Yarrowia lipolytica: one gene and its partner. The protein of the gene in region 1 purifies or fractionates together with the protein of each later gene. This does not show direct contact. Links are inferred from orthologs where the notes say so. Each region holds a gene or a part of one and is shown on either strand. Other genes may lie near its edges.

Evidence for each region.
Region 2: the proteins of YALI1_D34395g (region 1) and YALI1_E18843g purify together in Saccharomyces cerevisiae (affinity purification with mass spectrometry, with the first as the bait; 3 studies listed by BioGRID). This does not show direct contact. The link is inferred for Yarrowia lipolytica from reciprocal best matches to the Saccharomyces cerevisiae genes CDC5 and SMC1.

The regions. Positions count from the first base shown.
Region 1 is NC_090773.1:3,438,718-3,442,319, forward strand, and holds YALI1_D34395g (uncharacterized protein), read left to right. Parts: upstream 1-776; coding exon 777-2,945; downstream 2,946-3,602. UniProt on the Saccharomyces cerevisiae protein: Protein kinase required for the cell cycle where it is involved in mitotic exit. A component of the fear (CDC14 early anaphase release) network which promotes CDC14 release from the nucleolus during early anaphase. Phosphorylates SCC1/MCD1 and NET1.
Region 2 is NC_090774.1:1,881,441-1,885,197, forward strand, and holds the start of YALI1_E18843g (uncharacterized protein), read right to left. Parts: upstream 2,914-3,757; coding exon 1-2,913. UniProt on the Saccharomyces cerevisiae protein: Involved in chromosome cohesion during cell cycle and in DNA repair. Central component of cohesin complex. The cohesin complex is required for the cohesion of sister chromatids after DNA replication.

The DNA.
Region 1 (3,602 bases):
ATTGTTTACATTTCAGCCCCAAAAATCCACATTCATCTCCACAAAATAAACTTTGACTTGTTGTGAGCACTGTACTCCCAAGACTCACATCTAAAACATCGTCAGTCGTCCCTAACTCGCCTCACACAACCGGAGGGGCTTCCGGCGGTTAATTCCTAGAACGAAAACACTACACCCAGCACTGTGAACACAAAAACCACCCTAATTATCCTCTATACTAGCTCCCACGGCCAGTGTTTACAAAGACCCGGTTCTCTTGATTAGGTTAGGGTTGTACAGTATGCGGCTACAGCTGTAAACATAACATTGATCGGCGGACGGTGTCAAGGGCCCGATGTTGGTGCGTGGGAAACTGATAGAAGCGATACCATAGCACCTTGTACTGTACAGGGAACCTCTGGGAGTATGTAGGGTGCTTCTAAGGTGTATCTACAGAGTGTTTTGACAGAATTGATGATTTGGAAAGTGTTGATTTTGGGGCAGAATCAAACCCGGAAGGTAGATAACAACACTGCCAATGGACTCACCAGAACCACGACAGTCCATTGAAGCCCTTTCCACGCCAATTTGACGCAAATTCACCTTCTTCAACCTCATTCCTTCTGTTGTTTCGATACTATGTTGCTGTGACAACCCCCGAACCTAATGCCCAATATGGCAATAACCCAACTGAAGCCGAACAATATAAGCACTGGGCCATGGCCTACCACTGAACACACAACACTACATCACCATCTTGACACTCGGTCACCAATTACCCAAAAAAATAAAAGAAGATGTTCAAGCGACCAGATCCCTTGAGGCCTCTGGGCAGCGAGCATCGAGACAATGTCGTCAACCCCATGAAGCTGCGGGCAGGCAAGGAGAACAACGACGCCTATCACAACAACAAGTACACCTCGGAGAACCAGCCACAACCAACAACCCCGTACTACACCGGCAAGGGCAACTACTACAATCCCAGCAGCAAGCCCGCCGTGAGCAGTGCCCATGCTGCTGCCGCCGCTGCCGCCATTGCCCCTACAGCCTCCTCCAGAGCTCCCACAGCCGCTACTCACAAGACTCCCCGGAAAAAGGAAAAGCTTTCCAGCTTGTGCAAGACTCCTCCTTCTCTCATCAAGAGTCGAACCGGCGACCACTTCGCCCGGGGCTCGTGTCTGGGCGAGGGTGGTTTCGCTAGATGTTTCCAGGTGAAGAATGATGCTGGCAAGACCTACGCTGCCAAGACGGTGGCCAAGGAGAGCGTGCGCAACGAAAAGACGAAAAACAAGCTGCTGGCGGAAATCAAGATCCACAAGTCGCTAAAGCACCCCAACATTGTCGAGTTCGTCGACTGCTTTGAAGACGACCACAATGTGTACATTCTTCTGGAAATGTGCTCCAACCAGAGCATGATGGAGATGCTGCGGGCCCGAAAGGGATTTACCGAGGGCGAGGCAAAGTACTACATGGTGCAGATTCTCGGCGCTATCAACTTTATGCACAGACGACGAGTCATCCACAGAGACCTCAAGCTCGGCAATATCTTCCTCGACGAGCACATGCATGTCAAGATTGGAGACTTTGGACTTGCTACGGTTCTGGACAAGCCCACCGACCGACGGGTCACCATCTGTGGCACCCCCAACTACATTGCTCCCGAGGTTCTTGCTGGCAAGCATAAGGGCCATTCGTTTGAGGTCGACATTTGGTCTGCTGGTGTCATTCTATTCACCATGGTCACAGGTAAGCCTCCATTCCAGTCCAAGGACGTGGAGACCATCTACCAGCGAATCAAGAAGAACGACTGGAAGTTTCCCGCCGATCTTCCTATCAGCAGCGAATGCAAGGATCTTGTTCGACAGATGCTAGTTGGAGATCCTCACCAGCGTATCAACCTGGCCAACATTCTCAAGCACCCATTCTTCTTCACTGACTTCCCCGCCTCCATTCATCCTCAGGCTGCTAAGCTGAGACAACCTGAAACCCGAGTCAGCTACACTCAGTCACACAAGAATTTTGAGGCCATCAAGATTGCCGCCAGACTCGATAGCAGACACCTGGCACCCCGATCGACATCTCCTCCCGTCACAATTGAGCGTCAGGACGTTGAGGCCGACCAGCCAGCCAAGATTCTCCCCCAGTCTCTGTCTCCGGCTTCCACCAAGGAGAAGTACAAGATGGTTGACGTCAAACCCGATCCCCAGGGTCCCCAGGCGATTGAAGCCGACCGGCGAGTCATGGAGAACGTGCCTCAGTCTATGAGCCTCAAACCCCAGAATCAGCTCTTCAAAATCTTTCATGAGGCACTGGACAGGCAACTCCGAAGTGGACCCTCACACCACAACTCCAGTGGCCGGGCAGACGAGAAGACCATCTTCATTTCCAAGTGGGTGGACTACTCCAACAAGTTTGGATTTGCCTACCAGCTGTCGTCCAACGTCGTCGGCGTTCTCATGGAGCAGGAAAAAACCATTCTTATGGACATGCGGTACGAGGAGCATCTGTTCCAGGTGGTGATGGAGCAGGAGGCAAAGGACGTGGCCACCCGAAGCAATCCCAAGAGCAACTGGTCTATTGACACCTTCACGAGCACACAATATCCTGCCGAGCACAAGCACCGAATCAAGCTCGTCAAGCAGTTCCACAAATTCATGAACGACCATCTGTGTATGGTGGAGGACGAGAAGGAGATTGGCCTGGACATGGTGTGGGTACTGAGCTGGCAGCGGTCGGCCGGATTCGTGGTCTTTCACCTGTCCAACGACTCGTTCCAGTTTAACTTTGAGGATCACTGCAAGATGGTCATTAGCCACTGTGGTCAATCCATGATGTTCATCGACGACGACAAGATGTTCCACCACTGGACGCTGGACGAGGCCTGCATGCACGCAGGAGAGGGACACTGGAATCTTCAGGAAAAGTTGGTGCGTGTGTACCAGTACTTTGAGGGTCTCCTTAACTAGAGAGGCTCAGAGACTCCGCGCAACAATTGTTGTGTCATTAAATTAGCTAACTTAATAATGCATGATACCATAATATTTGTGGGGAGAAAGTAGGGTGTCTATATCGAAGTTTTCGTCTGAAAAAAGTGGAATCTGTCTCATTCATGTGGCGAATAATGAGGAGGCTAAAACAAGGAAATGCTAAAACGGAATAATCATTTGGTTCGAAAAAAAAAGATTACAGCACCCAGGATTCTCGTATGGTTCTTCCACTTACAATACCTAACTAGGCTTTTCTGGTGCTTGACTATGGCTTAATCGGACGGGAAGCCGTATTTTCACCAGGGATATGGCCGGAAACCAAAGACTCGATACGGGGAATCGAACCCCGGTCTCCACGGTTCTCAGAATGAGAGCGTGATGTGATAGCCCCTACACTATATCGGAAGGTTAAAACAAAACCTTATTGGGTCAATAGAACGTGATATGAAGACCACGTGACCATTTTTGATTTGTCTTATTGCGAGAGCCTGAGAGGATCTATGAGAATAAATCCAGTGTGGGGTTGTTAAGAGCACTTTAAATACATGCCTTAGATATAAACATGACTGTTAGAGGAGTGTTGTTGCTGGTATCATTGTTGTTGCTTTTCATGAAAGTGACAGCTACAAGTCCACA
Region 2 (3,757 bases), on another chromosome or scaffold:
GTCGTCTCCCTCAACCAGAGGCACAGACTCGAGATCACCTGACACCAGAGGAAGCTCAATGCCCTCAATCTTGCACTCTCGCAGAACCTCGTACCGCTGAGTAGCAGCAGTCTCAAGCTCGGTCTCAGACTGGGCAAGCTTTCGTCGCAGGTTATCGACCACGCCCTGAGCTCGGGAAAGATGCTCCTTGGCAGCGTTGGACTCAGTTGACGCGTTCTGAACGGCAGCTGTGAGCTTCTGAACCTGCTTTGCCTCAGCTCGAGCCTTTTCTTCCAGAATACCAATGTCCTCTCTCAGCTGGGCCTCATCGGCCTCCCAGCCATCCACAGCTGCCTTGTCATCATCGATAGACTGTCGAATCTTGGCCAGTCGCCCCTTGCACTCGTCCACACGCTTGGAGCCAAACTTGAGCTGTGACTCGAGAGTAGCAATCTGCTGAGAGAATGCGAGCCGCTTTCGCTCGGCACCAGCGGAGAGAGAGCCATGGGTCTGTTCATATGCAAACACGTCCTCAACAGTCACGCCGACACGAGTGCAATAAGACGAGAACACGGTGTACCAGACTTCGTCAAGGCGTTGTTGAATGGTGGCCTTCTGTGTCTCGAGCTTTTCGAGATCACTGGCGGTGCTGGCAATCTGCTTCTTGCTCTTGGCAGCCTCCTCGCTGTAGTACTTGAGCTGCGAATTGATATCCTTGAGACGGTCCTTCAGGCTGGCAACATGCTTCTGGGCAGCAGACACTTCCTGTCGCACCTTGTCAACCTCACGCTGCAGTGTATCCTGACGCTCGGGGTCAAACTTTTGCCGACCAACAGTCTGTAGCTCCAAAACCAGAGCATCCTTCTCTGCCTGGAGCTTTGTAACCTCAGACTCGTCCCATTTGGATGCTCGCTTGCCGCCATGGTGGCCCTTCTGGGTAGTACCACCAGTCATAAGACCAGCCTTGTGAATCACGGAGCCATCGGTGGTCACAGCCTTGACATTCAGGCTCCATCCAAGGCGTTTAGCCTCCTTAAGGTCGTCACACACAATGGCCGAGCCACAAACGTACTGGAAAGCCCGTTCGTACTGAGACGAAAAGGAAATGGCATCAATGGCAAGTACAGCCCCACGAAGACGCGACCGCAACGACGAGTTGACAGGCATGGCCTTGATAGTATCGAGGGGAATGAACGAGGCAAGACCGCCCTGCTGCTCCTTGAGGTATGCAATACAGTCCTGTGCAGTTTTGAAACTGTCCACAACAATGGAATCAATGTCCTTACCGAGAATGGTCTCCACAGCAAGATCGTGTCGCTTCTCCTTGGGCTTGCACAGGTCGTAGACGAGACCGTGGACCTTCTGTGCCGAGAAAACATGCTTCAGGTTGGCAACAGTCTCTTTAAGTCGTCGTTCTCGCTCAGTCTGTCGCTTGACCGCATTTAGCTCAATCAGACGGTTAGCCACAACACCCAGCTTGTCGCCAAGCTCCAGCTCGACACGTCGTCGGGTAGTCTGTTCGTCCACAACCCGAGCCAGAGACTCACTCTGAGTTCTCAGAGCAGACTGGTGGGTCTTGAGTACCTCCTCAGCTTCCTTCAGTTGGGTCTGGTAGACGCCAAACTCGCTTTTAAACTCCTTGACCTTGAGTTCCGAGTCCTCCTGTGCCTGCTCCAGAGCTCGCTTATGGTCCAGAACAGGTCTGAGTTTTCGCTTCACCGTCTCAATCTCAGCCTGCTCAGCCAGCGACCGCTTGTGCACCTCATTTTTCAGCGTGCTATACTCGGCCGCGTCCTCATCAGTTCGAATAACTCCGCCTGACTCCTTCTGCTTCGATGACAGATCTCGTTCAAACTCACTGGAGGCATCCTGAACCATCTTGAGAGAGCCTCGAGTCTGCTTGACTTCGTCCTGGTGTCGAAGTAAGTCAGCCTCGACAGTGCCGTACCGAGCCTCGTGACGCGAAATGTTGCCGGACACCACAGCAATACGTTCAGCCACAGGCACGAGCTGCTGCTTGTGCTCCAGAATGACGTCTGCTCGCTTCTTTGCCGAACGCTCCTGCTTGAGCAGCCGCTTCTTGTCGCTGGCATATTTGGCAGCCACGTTTTCCACCTCCTGAGCAGCCTCCTGAACAGCCCCCTCGGCGTTCTGGATAGCAGCGTCTCCACCTTCAATCTGGTCTCGGGCCTCATCTTCGATTTTTTGGGCCTGCCACAGTCTCCACAGCTGCTGCTTCACAACGGCCTCGTCTCGCTCTGCGGCCTTGGCGGTGTACGCGTCGTAACGGTCCTTGAGCTCAACGTAGTGCTTCTTCTCAGCGTTGTAGGTACGTCGTCGCTGCCAGGCTGCGTTGCTTCGCTCAGTCTGGACATCTAGCTCCTCCTTGAGACGGTCGTATTCGGGCTTGAGATCGATGGAGCCAGAGGTGATTTCAATCAGCTTGGACAAGTCTTGAGGCGACTGACTGGCAATCTGCTCCACATCTCCCTGGAAGACCAGGAAATTTCGGGCCTTGACCAGAATGTTTTCCTTCTTCATGGTGGCATTGTATTCGCCTGACGACGTGACCTTGTTGTTGATTCGGTACTCAGACGTGCCCGAGGGTGTGATGGTTCGCTTGAGCTTGAGTAGGTCTCCATTTGACTTTTCGTACTCCACCAGAACGTATGCCGACGTGGCTTCCTGAGACTGGGTCGAGCTGACTTCCTCGCCACGCATGATTCGGCCTCGGTAGATGAGGTCCTTGAGCTGGGTGGATCGGAGCTGCGAAGACCGCACTCCGAGCACAAACGAGATGGCGTCCATCATGTTGGACTTACCCGAACCGTTGGGGCCGATGATGGCCGAGAACGACGAGTCACCGAGATCCACACGGTGCGTATCACGGTACGACTTGAAGTTGCACAGCTCAATAGCCTTGAGGGTGCCCATAGTGTTGTGATGGTGTTGTGATGGTGTGTGGTGATGTTGTGTTGAAGTGTACGCGTGTTGGTGGTAGAATGACAATTTACATTTCACTCGCGTCCATCTAAACTTTATTTTGGAATAAAAATACAGTAAAAGAAATAAAAGAAAATAAAGAAATAAAAGAAATAAAAGAAATAAAAGAAATAAAAAAAATAAAAGAAAAAAAAAAAATAAAAGAAAAAAAAAGAAATACTTTGTAAATTACGAAGAAAACAAAAATATAACTCAAGTACAAGTACTTGCTGGTTTCTCGTTATAGACATTGCGAACCACACGCACGATAATTCAGAGCTCCACGCGAATTCAGCTCCACACGATTCAGAAGCTATCAAACCAAACCTCAACGGACTGGTACTATCTGTAGAACATCAATGATAACGACTGTTGTTGTCGTCAAAACTGGTTGCTCCGGTCGAGCTGCTGTGGATCGATACTGTCTGGACAAGACTATTACTACAAGCCTATACCACTGATCTTCAGTTGAAAACAACTCAATGCGGGGTGATGGCGAATACCGATTGGAATTGGGACAGGAAAATCAGTTATCTCCAAGCTCGAGGGGAAATATCGTATCTTTTTGTGTTTTTTTCAGACGTATTCAAGTCTCAATCTTCCAAATACTGTATGCATCGCTCGTCCAGTAGCCTGCCTAAAGTTTTTGATGCGAACGCGTAAACAATAAAAGATGCGCATGTATGATACTGTTTAGGGGGTAGTCTAGACGACGCTACCATGGACCTCGAAATGGTTGGACCAGTACAGAAATTGAAGGAAAAGAAGGAGCAGAGGCTCAGAATATGGCAGTAAA